Linked DNA regions of Stegostoma tigrinum. The protein of the gene in region 2 interacts with the protein of the main gene of each other region in a pairwise test. Links are inferred from orthologs where the notes say so. Each region holds a gene or a part of one and is shown on either strand. Other genes may lie near its edges.

The links.
Region 1: the proteins of mycbpap (region 2) and c-Myc-binding protein interact in binary tests that used the Homo sapiens proteins (3 or more experiments, as listed by UniProt). The link is inferred for Stegostoma tigrinum from reciprocal best matches to the Homo sapiens genes MYCBPAP and MYCBP.

The regions. Positions count from the first base shown.
Region 1 is NC_081379.1:51,254,562-51,262,355, forward strand, and holds the start of c-Myc-binding protein, read right to left. Parts: upstream 3,169-7,794; 5' UTR 3,078-3,168; coding exon 3,063-3,077; intron 2,444-3,062; coding exon 2,371-2,443; intron 1-2,370. UniProt on the Homo sapiens protein: May control the transcriptional activity of MYC. Stimulates the activation of E box-dependent transcription by MYC.
Region 2 is NC_081375.1:37,388,324-37,395,988, forward strand, and holds the start of mycbpap (MYCBP-associated protein), read right to left. Parts: upstream 3,440-7,665; 5' UTR 3,066-3,439; intron 2,149-3,065; 5' UTR 1,959-2,148; coding exon 1,895-1,958; intron 1-1,894. UniProt on the Homo sapiens protein: May play a role in spermatogenesis. May be involved in synaptic processes.

The DNA of each region.
Region 1 (7,794 bases), on a different chromosome or scaffold from region 2:
TTGATTGGACAGAATGCAGAAGTGATTTACTAGAATGATTCCAGGTTATGAGGAAGTTCAGCTATGATTGTAGAGGTTGGGACTGTTCATTTGGACAGAAAGCAGTGAGGGGTTTTCAGAATCATGAGCAGGTTGGACAGAAAAGATAAGGAGAAAGTATTTCTGCTTGCAAAAGAAACAAGAACAAGGGGCTTAGATTTAAAGGGACATGCAACAAAGCAAGGATGATGCAAAATCAAAACTTGTTCACACAGCAAGTTGTTAGGGTATGGACTGCACTGCCTAGAATGTGAAAGAGGGAGGTTCAGTTGAGGCATTCAAGAGGACATTGGATCATAATGGAGTGCAGAGATATGGAGATAAAGCAATAGATAACTCAGCCAGACTAGATATTAGAGCTGGTGTAAACATGGTGAATTGATGGCCTCTTGAGGTTCTGTGATTATCAGATGTAGGAGAGACACAAGTTTCTCGTCAAAAACACATGTCCTGCAACTTTCTGGAGTCAGATGTGTTCTGGCATGGCCAGGGAAAAAGAATCATTGGAACAGGCTTTACAGATGGTGGTGGATTTCAGAAACACTTTGAAAACTGGGAAAAGTACATCAATACAGATAAAGTTATTATTAATTGGGGGTACAGGAGTCCACTTGAAACTCAGAACTGTGTACTGCAATTTTGTAAAAAGTGCAATAGGTGACCAACTATAGAAAGGGATATGGTCATCTCTGGAGTTTAGTCAATAATGCTCTTAAACATTTCTCAAGAAACTTTTAAAATGTGAAATCTTGATCTCTCATCTTATAACAAAGTTTCAGGGGGTGGGAGCGAAGGTGGTTTTAAAATATTGTTGGTCTCAAAAGAAAACTATGATAAAATATTAACACTTTCTCTCTCCATACAGACTGGTGGATGGGTAAGTATGTCCAGCATTTTTTGCTCTAATTGTTCACATTAAATATCAGGAAGACTGAAGCCATTGCTCCTTGGACTCTGCATTGAACTACATTCTTCTTCCAGGAAGCCAAACACTCATAACCTTGGAGTCATATTTAAATGCAAAGATGAGGTGCCAGAACCTTTTTGCTTTACAAGATCACCAATGTGCAGTACTGTAACTTCATTTTGTTCCAGCTCAGGCAATAATCAAAACCGTACCATTTTGTTCCCTCCAAACTTGATTAATCTAACATACGTCATGCTGGCTTCCCATTTCTCACCTTCATTAAGCTTGGGAGCATTCAGATCCTTACACAAATCCTAGCACCTGTTATCTCTGTACTCTTTAACACACACATGTGGAATATAAAATTTACATTCTTGTTTCAAATCTCTCCATGGTCTCTCCCTCCCTTTGTCTTTAATTTCCTGCAGCCCAACTGCAGGTACCCGTGCTCATATTCATTTCAGATTTGTCTGTATTCCTATTTTTTAAAATACCACACAATTGAGGACTGTGCCTTCCATTATATTGGCTTCTATCATGCTCTACCTTTCCTATTGCCTTCAACATGTAACTACATTCTGCTTCAGCATTCAAGATTTGGTTTATCTGCCCAAATATCACCACTGGGGCTTCTGTATTTGATTTTGTTGGCCAGAGTGCCTCTGAAACCCCAGATGTTTCATATATTAGGGCGGCACGGTGGCTCAGTAGTAGCACTGCAGCCGCACAACACCAGGGACACGGGTTTGATTCCAGCCTCGGGCGACTGTCTGTGCGGAGTTTGCACGTCCGCCCCGTTTCTGTGTGGGTTTCCTCCCACAGTCCAAAGATGTTCAGGCTAGGTGGGTCAGCCATGTTAAATTGTCCATAATGTTCAGGGATATGTGGGTTACAGGGGTATGGGTCTGGGTGGGATGCCTCAAGGGACAGTGTGGGCTTGTTGGGCTGAAGGGTCTGTTTCCACACTGTAGGGAATCTAATCTAAAAGTAACACAATAAAGTATGCAGATGTACTGCAGAAATTCACCAAGATTCATTAGACAGCACCTCCAAACCAACAACCAAACCATCTAGAATAGCAGCAGCAGACATTAGACCATAAGACACAGGAGTGGAAGTAAGGCCATTCGGCCCATCGAGTCCTCTACCATTTAATCATGGCTGATGGGCATTTCAACACCATTTCCCTGCACTCTCCCTGTAGCCCTTGATTCCTTGTGACCACAAATCATTCGGTGTCATTCAGTTACAAAACCTGGAACTCCCTCCCTAATAAGATTGTGGATGCACCTACTGCACGTTGTCTGCAGCAGTTCAAGAAAGCAACTCACCACCACACCTCAGGGGCAATTAGGGCAGTAGATGCCAGCCCAGCCGGTAACACTACATCCCACAAATGAACAAAAATGAAAACAGCACCTCACCTTTAGTGAGCGTATCCAGCACGCCACCTTTTTCTAAGTATCTACGAAATTGCTCTCTGCGGGAATCACCAGCCTGGAGAAAACAAGAGGAATAACGTGTTTATGCCCCTAACAGATATAAAAACTTTTAACAAGCCTACGATAGCTCTTCAACTCCTTCTGTCCGCCATGGACCCTACTGACATTCCAGACGACCATGTGTGCAGGAAGTGCACCTAAGAGAGAAGCACGAGCTCCAGGGTGGTCACAAAGCAGCTCAAGAGACTGGAGGAAAGAACGAAATGGGTGACGACCAGGCAGTCATGGAAAAACAGAGGCGGAGAGTGCAGGACTCCCCAACCCGGGTCCTGCTCACAAATCGGTTTCCCAGTCTGGAAGCTGACGAGGGCACTGGCTCCTCAAGGAAGTGCAAACAGGGCCAAGTTCGGAGCACCAACCAGACTATCCAAGAATACGGCGGGGGATAGAATAAAGCAGAAGCGGCGATGATAGGGGTTTCATTTTGCGGAACAGTCAGGCGTTTCTGTGGCCCTCGGAGATAATTCCAAGATGGTGTATTACCTCCTGAGTGGGAGTCAGTAATGCCACAGAGGCTGTGAGTGAGAAGCTGGAACAATACAGACAACATCGGAGAAGGGGAAGGTCGACACTTCAAACTGAAACCCTTGGTCAGGGCCCCACCACTCCCTTACCCGGTAATGCGCCATATTCTTTCCCTCTCCACTCCAAGGCCCGCACTGCGCCTCTTGTTTCCGGAATTTGTTTCCATGACAACAACCCGCTCCAGCCACCCCACCCCGTAACGCCAAAAGGTCAGCGCGCGAGGAGGCAGCAGCGAATCAATGGCTGAGCTGCCCCGGTGCCGCCTTCTGACGTTACCCCGCCCCCAAACCCTCTCTTGCCCCGCCCCGCCCGGCAAGGTCAAAGATAGAAAAGTAGGAAACAAAGTTGGAAGACACGGCTGAAAACGGCTTCGTACCAAATACAGCAATCGCACAAAAATGTAAAAATACTGTGTTCAAAAGGGAAACCTACATGTATCGCATCTGAAATGTTATAAATAGATAATGATGTAAATGTTATCACTGAGGTGTGGCTTCAGAGTAACAATGGCTGGGAACCAAACATCCAAGGTATATATTCAGAAAGGACAAGCAAAGAAGACAGAGAGTTTTGGTGTTTTGCGCTTAGTAAAATGCGGAATCAGCAGAATAATAAAACGTGAATAAAGAACTGTATCATAGAATCCCTACAGTGTTGAAACAGGCCCTTAGGTCCACCGACCCTCAGAGCATCCCATCCGGACCCATCTACCTACAACCCACCTAATCTATGCATCCCTGAACACTACGGGCAATTTTAGCATGGCGAGTCCTGGCCTGGCAGCATCTGTGAACAGAAATTCTTCAAATGTTCTGAAGAAAGATCACTGGACTTGAAACGTTTGCTGTTTTCTCTTCAAAAAATGCAGCCAGACCTGCTGAGAACCTCAACAATTTCTGTTTTTGTTATTAATGAAGGACAATACCTTGGAAAATATATGTAGAATCGGTCAGAACTAAGAAGCAACAAGGCGCAAAAATATCAGTAGGAGTTGTCTAAAGGCCACTATACAGTGATGCTGAGGTAGGCTGGAGATGGTACTAAACTAAAATTAAAAAATGCACGTAACAAGGTTGCTCCAGTATTCATGGGTACCTTAGAGTGTATGCACACTGGCAAAACCACGTGTGCAATGATAAGATGGCAGAAGAATTCCTACAGTTTAGGAAATGTTGATGTACAAAGGGAAATGGGTGCCTGTGTACACCAGCCGCTGAGAGCAGGCATACATATAGGTACAGCAAGCAGTTAAGAAGGTAAATGGTATGTTAGCCTTTACTGAGGACTTTAAGTACAGGAGAAAGTGCATTTTATCAACATGATATAGAGCAAGTGTGAGATAACACCTGGAGTATTGTGTGCAGTTCTGATCTTGTTAATAAGTAACAAGAGATAACATATACGCTTGCCAGAGGGAGAATTTAAGTAAGGCTCACCAGACAGATTCTTGTGATGGCAACATATTGTTTGAAGAGAGACTCGAGTTCACTAGTCTTCACTGGACCCAAGAAAAATGAGAAGGAATCTAATTGAAATGTACGAAATTCTGAAGGGTTGACCAGAATGGCAACCAAGTGTAGAAAAAGGGGTTCACTGCCTCAGGATAGAATTTTGAACTGAGAGGAGGAGAAATTTCTTTATTCAGACGGTGGGGCCCTTGAGGACCTATTTGTAAGTAGGCTTTGGTGGCCAAGTAATTAAATATACTTGATAAAGAAATAGATTTCTAGACCCTAAATAATATTGAGTATGGGAAGGGAGTGTGTGTATGGTGTCGAGATTGGGATCAGCCTTCATGATATTTAATGATGGCTCAGTTTTTCATCTATTTTCCATGCTTCTATGTTACTGAGCGCCTCTCTTACTAACTTATCAATCTTGTTCCTTATTCAGAGTAATTTATCTTCTTTTTCTTTTAACTGTTGCTTCTTAAAGCTGAAGTTTCCAGTATTGATCACCATGCAGCCATGTCTTTGTAATGGCAATTGCCATTGCCCCAGTTGAAGACAGCATTGAACAAGTCACATCCCAGAACTAAATCTGGCTCGATAGATAATTGGTTTAATTTTTACACTTGGTTACTGTGATGGTAGCTTCATTCATATGAAGTTGCCAATGCTCTTTAAAGAATACAAATGTATCACAAAATTATTATGTCACAGAAGGAGACCATTTGGACCATTGTGCTGTAGTGGCTCTTCAAATGAACATCGTTACCTGGTGTCAATCTCCTTTTTGCCCATACTTTTGCATGCTATTTTGAACCAAATGGTCATACAATTTCCACTGGAATGCCTCAATTAAACCTACCTCCACCTCATTTCCAGGCACTGTGTGTCTCACCCTAAAATAATTCCTCAAATCATTTGTTGCTTCTTTTACACACCACTTCAAATCTATGCCATCTCATTCTTGCAGCTTCTCCCATTCTACTGAATTTAGCCTGGTCATGATTTTGGAAACCGCTATCAAATCTCCACTCAAACTTCTTCTATCCAAGAAAAACAGTGATAATCTCCTCAATCTATTCCTCATAACTGAAATTTGTCATTTCCCAAATATTCTTGTTAATTGCTTCCACACCCTCTACAATGAGTTCACATTCTTCCAAATATGTCACAATACTCCAGCTGTGATCAAACAAGTGCCTTATCCATTTCAACATCATAAGATAAGATATTAGAGCAGAATTAAGTCATTCAGCCCACTGAGTCTCCTCTGCAATTTGATCATAGCTGATTCGCTTCTCAACCATCATTGTCTACAGGAATAGTGCAAGAAGACTGGAGGATAGCAAATGTCCCCTTGTTCAAGAAGGGGAGTAGAGACAATCCTGGTAATTATAGACCAGTGAATCTTACTTCGGTTGTGGGTAAAGTGTCGGAGAGGATTACAAGAGATAGGATTTATAATCATCTAGAAAGGAATAATTTGATTAGGGATAGTCAACACAGTTTTGTGAAGGTTGGTCGTGCCTCACAAACCATTTGAGTTCTTTGAGAAGGTGACCAAACAGGTGGATGAGGGTAAAGCAGTTGATGTGGTGTATATGGATTTTAGTAAAGCGTTTCATAAGGTTCCCCATGATAGGCTATTGCATAAAAAGTGGAGTCGTGGGATTGAGAGTGATTTAGTGGTTTGGATCAGAAATTGGCTAGCTGCAAGAAGACAGAGGGTGGTGGTTAATGGGGAATGTTCGTCCTGGAGTTCAGTTACTACTGGTGTACCGCAAGGATCTGTTTTGGGGCCTCTGCTGTTTGTCATTTTTATAAATGACCTGGATGAGGGCGTAGAAGGATGGGTTAGTAAATTTGCGGATGACGCTAAAGTCAGTGGAGTTGTGGATAGTGCAGAAGGATGTTGCGGGTTACAGTGGGACATAGATAAGCTGCAAATCTGGGCTGAGAGGTGGCAAATGGGGTTTAATGTGGAAAAGTGAGAGATGATTCACTTTGGAAGGAGTGACAGGAATAGAGAGTACTGGACTAATGGTAAGATTTTTGGTAGTGTGGACGAGCAGAGAGACCTTGGGGTCCATGTGCATAGATCCCTGAAAGTTGTCACCCAGGTTGATAGGGTTGTTAAGAAGGCATACGGTATGTTAGGTTTTATTGGTAGAGGGATTGCGTTTCGGAGCCATGAGGTCATGTTGCAGCTGTACAAAATTCTGGTGCAGTCGTACTTGGAGCATTGCGTACAGTTCTGGTTGCTGCATTATAGGAGGGATGTAGAAGCACTGGAAAGGATGCAGAGGAGATTTACCAGAATGTTGCCTGGTATGGATGGAAGGTCTTATGAGGAAAGGTTGAGGGACTTGAGGCTGTTTTTGTTAGAGAGAAGAAGGTTAAGAGGCAACTTAATAGAGACATACAAGATGATCAGAGGATTGGATAGGGTGGACAGTGAGAGTCTTTTTCCTAGGATGATGATGGCTAGCATGACGGGACATAGCTTTAAACTGAGGGGTGATGGATATAGGACAGATGCCAGAGGTAGGTTCTTTACTCAGAGAGTTGTAAGAGCGTGGAATGCCCTGCCTGCAACAGTAGTAGACTCACCAATTTTAAAGGACATTTAAATTGTCATTGGATAAACATATGGATCTTAACGGATAGTGTGGGTTAGATGGGCTTCAGATTAGTTTCACAGGTCGGTGCAACATCGAGGGTCAAAGGGCCTGTACTGCGCTGTAATGTTCTATGTTCTAACCAGATTCTCCTGCCTCCTCCAATAACCCTTTATCTTCTTGCTAATCAAGAACATTCCAATCTATGTCTTACATACATTCAATGATTTGGCCTCCACAGACTTCTGCACCAATGAGTTCCACAAGATTCACCACCCTCTGGCTGAACAAATTACTCCTCATTTCAGTTCTGAAGGGTAGTCCTTTCACTCTAAAGCTGTTCCCTAGTCTCTTACTAATAGAAATATCTTCATGTCCATTCTTTCCAGGCCTCTCAGTATTCTGGGACTTGGAGACAGAAAGGACTGCAGGTGCTGGAGGCTAGAGTCAATAAGTGTGGAGCTAGAAAAGCACAGCAGCTGAGACAACATAAGGCTGTTCTGCTCATCTGATGCTATCTGACCTGCTGTGCTTTTCTACCTCCACATTTATTGATTTTCAATATTCTGTTAAGTTTCAATGAGATCCTCTCTGATCCTTTCAAACTCTGCCGAATACAGAGCTAGAGTTCTCAACTTCTCCTCATATGGCAAGCCCTTCATCCTTGGCTCCATTTTTGTAACCCTCCTCTGAACCTCCTTCAATACCAGCACATCCTTCCTTAAATACAGAACCCAAAACTACTGACAAGATTC
Region 2 (7,665 bases):
GAGAGGAAGAACAGGTTAGGCAGGTGGGGATGAGCTGGGCTGGTTTTGGGATGCAGTGGTGGGAGGGGAGATTTTAAACTGGTGAAATCCACATTGATGCCATTGGGCTGCAGGGTTTCCAAGCAGAATATGAGTTGCTGTTCCTGCAACCTACGGGTGGCATCATTATGGCACTGCAGGAGGCCATCATTAGCAAACACGTATGTGGTTTATATGAATGATATGGAAAGTTCTCCTTGCTAATGCCTAGTAGTTTGCCCCACATTGGGAGAGCTGTTCCACAAGCTTGTGAAGTTACAGCCTGACTTTGTCAGTTTGGTCTGATTCCATGACTGTGATTATGTTCTAGACATCACCACCACCATCCCTGGGAAGTCCTATCTGATTGGCAAGGCAGACATAGCACCCTTAACATAATGAAACATTACAAATAGTGTCACAGGAATTTTGAAGAACGAAGTATGACACTAAACCTCAAAGGAAGCGTTATGTTGGACAATCAAAAACTCTAAGGGAGTGGGTTTAAAGAGGAAAGCAAGTCAGAAAGGTGAAGGGAATGGAGAGAATTTTAGAGCTTGGGGTTGAGGCAACTGAAGGCACAGTCACTAATAGAACATAGAACATTTCAGCGCAGTACAGGCCCTTCGATTCTCGACGTTGCGCCAACCTGTGAAACCAATCTGAAGCCCATCTAACCTACACAATTCCATTATCATCCAAATGTTTACCAATGACCATTTAATTATCCTTAAAGTTGGCGAGTCTACTATTGTTGCAGGCAGGGCATTCTGTGCCCTTACTACTCTCTGAGTAAAGAACCTGCCTCTGACATCTGTCCTCCATCTATCACTCCTCAATTTAAAGCTATGTCCCCTTGTGCTTGCCACAGTATAGCAATTATGATTGGGAATTGTAGTTGTCGGAGGAGGCTGTTTACAGACTGTTAGCTGAAGTTGTAGCTCATGGAATTGAAGGCTACTTATTGACCTGAGGAAATTGTTACAATTCACCATATTTATGAACAACTTAGAAAGACAAAGAGGAAACTACCTGGGACTTGATGCCTAAGAAAATGGTAGAAGCATAAATAATCAGTTATTTCAAAAGGTCATTGGGTGGGTACTTGATAGAAGTAGACTTGCAGGATTATGGAATGGGACTGACTGAATTGCTCTGCAGAAAGCCAGCAGAGACTTGGTGGGCTGAATGATGTTCTTTGGTGATTCTATGACCATATGCAAATTTGCCAAATCAAAGGTGGGGGGGGGAGGTCTTTGCATGATGGAAATTACAGGAGATATTGATAGATTAAATGAATGAATATAATGAGCTATATTTCAATGGCGTAATGTGTCAGAACCTAAAAAGGATAACTTTTTCTAAATGTAAGAAGCTAGAAATTGCTATATGTACAAAGAGACACGTGGACTTATTTACATAGATTATTATTAAAATATCACAGTGACCTCGCTTTCATCACAAGTCCTCTATGTGTTATCACCTATCAAATATGTCCCTACGTATCGCGGAATGTATGTTTGAATCCTCCCAATCAGGTTATCACCCGTACAAACCAGGTTTTATCAAAGTTACAAATGAAATTCTATGTGACTGACGAGCGTAAACTTTCCCTCTTTGTTCTTCTCAACTAGTTTTCAGCCTTTGACATGATTATCACTCAGCCCTCTTGCAGGAGCTGTCCAAGTTGGGTTTCTTGACCCACGTCACTCCCAGAGAATCTTTACTGCCCAGGGATAGCCCACATTCCTCACAGGAGGCTGGAGGTACTTTGAGGCCCTACGTCCCCAGGGTAGAGTTCGCAGTGCAGGAGCATCCTCCATGTCTCACTGTGGCGAGATGGGGAATAGAACTCTGCCTCCCCCCTCACTCCTACCTGGTGAGCTGCGCAGGGTGGGCTCTCTCCGGGAAACTTTCATTGGAGTCCGTGTCCCCATCATCTGAAATCAAAGCCAGAGGGCTGACAAAGCACAACAGAACAAAGCCAGGTCCGTCTCCGGGTGCAAACCCCAGGCACGGACGCCGTCTCCGGGCAACCGCCCTTCCCGACACTTCCGCCGTCTCCACAGAAACCAGACAACTGCAGACCGTGCACGGTGTGGTCAGAGTGAGCAAGAGGCTTATACTGGGCTATTGCAGAGGGAGAGAGAAGAATTTTAGTCTGGATTATTACAAAGACAATAGGTTGTAATGAGTTATTTACAGGGAGAGCGTTATACTGGGTTATTTCAAAGCAGGAGAGAAAGACGTTAGATTTTGTTAATAGCGACGGATTTGAATGGGCACAGGAGTAGGATCAGACTGGGTTAATAGACTCGGGGAGTGGGGATTAGACTGGGTTATCAGAGAAAGAGAGGAGTTTAGTCTGGATTATTACAGAGAGGAAATTGCCATGGTGCAGAATGAGGCCGTTTGGCCCATCATCTCAGCACTGGTTTTCTAAATGAGCATTATGACTTGGTGCCATTTTTTTCTGCATTATATCTTAGGCCTGAATATTTTTTTTTGAAAAATCATATGCACTTTTGAAAACCTCAATCAATCTGGCTGTCACCACGATTCCAGGCGCGGTGTTTCAGATCTGAACCACTCGCTGTGTGAAAAGGTTTGTCTCCTATCACATTTGCTTCTTTTAGAAATTTCCTTCTCATTTTTGATCATTGTATGAGGGAGCAGTTTGTCCATATGTACTCTGCCAATCCCCCTCAATGAAACCTCCTCTTAGCCTTCTCCTCTCTATGAAAGCAATCCCAACTTCTCCAATCTATCTTCCGCCTTTGAACCATTCCTGTAAGGGTCCAACGCACACTGTCGAATGTTTTTGCATCCTTTCTAAAGTGTGGGAGCCTTGAACTGTGTACAGTGCTCCAGCTGATGTTTTAACTATTATGGTATACAAATTCAGAATAACCTCCTTGCTTTTGTAATCCATGCCTCCATTAATAAAGCCTAAGATAATGTTTGCTTTATTTTACAGCTCACTGAATTTGAATTGAATCATTTATTGTCACGTGTATTCGATATAAAATACATTGAAAAGTGTGTACCATCGCAATACATAGGCGCCATTCACAGCAACTTAGAATAAAATGAAAAGGTAACTTGAAGAGAGTCCAACTTTTCCTTCTCCACGGCTACGGCATGCTGCCGCCAGAATCCTGCTCCGGGCTTCCCAGTCCATGCCTTGCCGTTACCGGGGGCCCACTCCACGTGGAAACGAACGTCCTGCTCCAGGTTTCACAGGCGACTGACCGACTCTGTAGCCGAACTGCCGCTTCGGTACATTGTTGAAGTCGCCTTCCTGTTGGCGGGGGCGGCGGCACTGAGACGAAGAGGACACGCCCAGGCATCGATTACTCTGTGCTGGCTCTTTGTACCTATTTTTCTAATCAGTCCGTACAGAGATATTATTACACATCTCTGGAGCAGGTGAGACTTAAACCTGGCCTTTCTTATTAACCCACGTTTCCGTGTGACTATCAATTATTTCCTTAATAATGATTTCAATTTTTTTTCCATCATAGAAGTCAAGCTGGCTGGTTTAAGATTTCTAGGCTTACTCTTACAATCTGTTTAAGCAAGTAATAGTTGAGAATACAAATAAATGTGTACCGATTACATGAAAAGCCCGAAGGTGTTGAACTGTTTGGATATTTTCTGGATTGAAAAGGGTTTTTGCCATGTGGTTGCTTGGAAAATGGGCCAACCGTTTAATGTGTGCTGTACTTTAGCTGCTTTACAGTCCTTTACAGGAAATCTTCGGATAAAAGACATGCAGAGCCTAGAGGGAGAGAACAGCATGGGGTTTATGACCCTTAATGGCTGAAAAACCTGGCTTTGAAAAAATACATCCCTGTGCTGATGGTTGCCTTAGTAACCCTTTCAGGACTAGAGTTCGGTTTGACCAAGGTTTGACAAGAGGAAGAGATCTGAAGCTACATGGCTCTTTCTCTCGAACCCCCACTCCCGATTCCCCAATTATCTGGGGAATGTGACACTTTCCAAATCTCAAATTGTCTTATAAACCATGAAAAGTTGACCTGACCACTTTCCAAAGACTCTGATCCTGCTTGATTTTATTCCAACCTGAAAACCTTCGATCAGTCTTCGGCTGTCAGCATTTCCATTTTATTGACAATACTTTTTTTATCCTCTTGTTTGTTTCCAGACAGATTTTTAAAATTTTGTTTCTTTTTTAAATACCTCATCTTTGCAGAGTCTGTTATTCTTTGTGTTAGCATGAGTGTTTTTGTTTGGAGAAAGTAGACATGATTTGGAGAACAGGCTGTGCATGCACACAGCTATGCATTTAGGATACAGCCTATCTCACCAGGCTATTGCTATCCTCCTGTAGTTTACCACTGCACTCCTCACTGTTTACTACCTTACCAATTTTCACTTCATCCACAAACTTCTTGATCATATTCTCTACGTGTTAAATCCAAATCATTAATATATACAACAAACAGAAGTGGGTCCATACTGAGCTCTCCAGAACTCCACTGGAAACACATCTCTAGTCACAGAATTGGCATAGAGGTTCAGTGCAAAAGACAAAGGGTTGTTAATGGTAGTGAAAGAAAATGGAGATGTAAATGGGTGTAAATTAAAGGGTGAAAGGGAGAGAATGTAATGAGACCAATTGCTCTAACATATCAGGTTCAGTGTCAGATTGTACTTTATAATACTCCTACAAAGCTTTTTACTTGTTTTATTGTGTTGCAGGTGCTATGTAATTACAGGTTATGATTTAACTGGAATACTCAGTACAAACCAGAAAATGCTGGGAACACTCAAGGTCTGGTAGCATCTACAGAGCGATTAAAAAGAGAGAACTTTCAAAATCATGACTTTTCTTCACATGTCATCAGATACCGTTTGAATAAAGGATGAAGTACAATTGTGAATTTCAGCCAGGATCTTCATGTGACAGAGAGATTGGTACACAGAGATATTCGGTTGCATGGGCAGGAGTCCCATGAGATCATGGAATCCAGAGTACCGATCAGCTCCTTTGCTTTTCATCTCAGGTGCCACACTGCCTCTTTGTGAATCAAACTATCATGCAGCTTGATGGACAATGTGTTGTCATTCTAAACATGTGGAACCATGATACTGTACTTCAAGGGCAGCTTTGGGGTATCCTTTTAGAGTTTTGTGCTCCCCTGGAATGTTTGAGTGTTGAAAGAACATGACTTGCTGGGGAGTTAGTTTTCAGCTATGCAGGCTCTGTGTCTAGGCCATTTTTGTTTGAATTCTTTTTTATCTTCATTCATTGGATGTGGGCATTGCTGGCTAGGCCAGCATTTATTGCACATCATTCATTCTGCTGGATAACTAACTGTCTTCTTGAATCTCTGCAGCCCTTCCAGTTTTGGGACACCAAAATGCTGTTAGGGAGATCCATAATATTTACTCAGTTACAGTGAAAGAATGGTGCTATATTTTGAAGTGAGGATAGTGCGTTGGTTGGCGGCAACTTGCAGCAACTGTTGCTTCCACATATCTGCTACCACTTTTCTAAATCATTGAGTTTATGGTTTTGAAAGGTGCTGTTAAGAGAACCCTTGGTGGACTATGGCAGTGCATCTTGTAGATGGCACACATTACTGCCACTGTTCATCAAGGATGATTTTTGAAGGTGATGGATAGGGTGCCAGACAAATTCAAGGAAAATGCTAAGAATCATTATGAACTCGTTGTAATAATTAACTTGATAAAAGTATTGATTCAATAAATCGTGAGGGCATGAAAATTTGAATGCCCAAGAAACTCCAAAACAATTCTGCAATTGCTGTACAATGGTATCACTGCATCTGTCAAGAACAACCTTCGACCCTGTTTCACATATTCAATAAGGATCGCATACGATTGCCTTCAAAAATCCAGATTTGAGCCCAGCAAGACTGTGTGATAACGCTCTTACGTATAGAATTTATTAGAAAATGGCTGTTCACCAATGGTGTCAAAGATCAACTACTCTGATGTCACTCAGTATTAGATAATACCTAGCTGCAGAACTCTTTAAACTCATTGCCCCCGAACCAAATTGGAATATTCCGCTGGAGCAAATCAAGGATCCCATTCATCCACAAAGCTTCCTCGCAACACCATGCGATGCTGGCAGCCTGTAGATGGTGCTGCTGAGGGAGGTCATATTCCGCCGGGGGAGCAGCCAGTGCTCCCAGACGCCCACCAGCCGGTCCTCGAGGGTCTGATCCAACCGGCGGGAAAACAAACCGAAAATCTGTTTTTGAAAGGAAGACAGTCCACGCGTGGAGGATGGGGGGCGGGGTTATCTGGTAGCCTAACGCGGGGAATCACGTGGTGAATGACATGGGACGATGGGGGACTAACACGTGCCCCGCATTCTGCTCGCTGATTGGGAGGCCGGTGTGAGTGACGGCTCACGCGCCCCACCCATTCCTCCACACTGGGCGTTTGTCCGAGGCGACCCCGGTCTGAAATCTCAGACGCGATCCGTCAAACGGGCCTGGTCAGTAAGTCGGTGGCGGCTGACTCCTGGGAGGAACAGGCTGTGGTTTTTGAAAGTTGTCTGGCTTTCATTTGCTGAGGTGCGAGGTCACATCTGAGTCTAACATTTCCTGCTAATATTTCCTCATTAGCTTGGATTGGCCGACCTGTCCCGGCTGTAACTTTTGCCCAAAACAAATCTCTGATTTCACATTTTAATCGGTAGGCAGCGAAGGAGGGAAGTTTTGTCTTCCATGTTCTAATAACAACTTGCATTTGTGTCGTGCTTGTATCATCGACAAACATCTTGGAGCGGCTTCACGGAGATACTCGGATGTTAACTGGTCAGATGAGACGTTAAGAAGGGGTGGTCAGCAGTTTGGACAGAGGTTAGTTTATAGGAAGGTTTTATAAACAATAGAAAACGAAGTCATAACGATAAATTGATGGGAAGAAGAGGGGGAGGAAGGAATGATTTGGTGGAGGTTACAACAATAGGATGACACCATGAAGGGCTTAATAAATCAATCCAAGGCTTTGAGAAGCGCGATGTCCAGAGTGGGAAGGAAACTGCGTAGTAGATACCTGGCTGAGTTGAGTTTACAGTGAGGTTAACCAGTGAAGCATAGTCATAGTTAAGGGGCTTAACGTAAATGAAGACTCGGGATTGTTTTAGGGGGAGGAGTGTGCCCTGATGTTACTGGTGCAGAGGTCAGAAGGTCCTTGGATGGAGAGGAAGCACAATCCAAGTTGCAGGAAAGATGAAAAGGATATGCGGTGAATGAAGACAATGTGGTCAAAGACTTAGGTTCTTTTTGCAAAGGGGTGGTAAATAATGTAGCAGTCTCAAATTACATTTTTGAGGGACATTTTGGTTCTGTGATAAGGGGGAAAAACCTGATGGAGAACAATCAATAGGTTTGATGTAGTGGACTGGTTGGAGAATTTAGGGAATGTATGGTGGAGATGGGCATGAGTTCAGTAGGTAACAATAATCAAGAAATGTTACAATATCAGGCATCATGTGGGATCCAAATGGGATTTTGAATGATCTACAGATTAGTTGGAATGGGTTCAAGGAAGTCCCATGGATGAGCTTGTAAAGGGAAAACTGGCAGACAGGAGAGGAATTAGAGAAAACTAGAAGGCTAGGGCAGAGGAATCTAGAGTAGG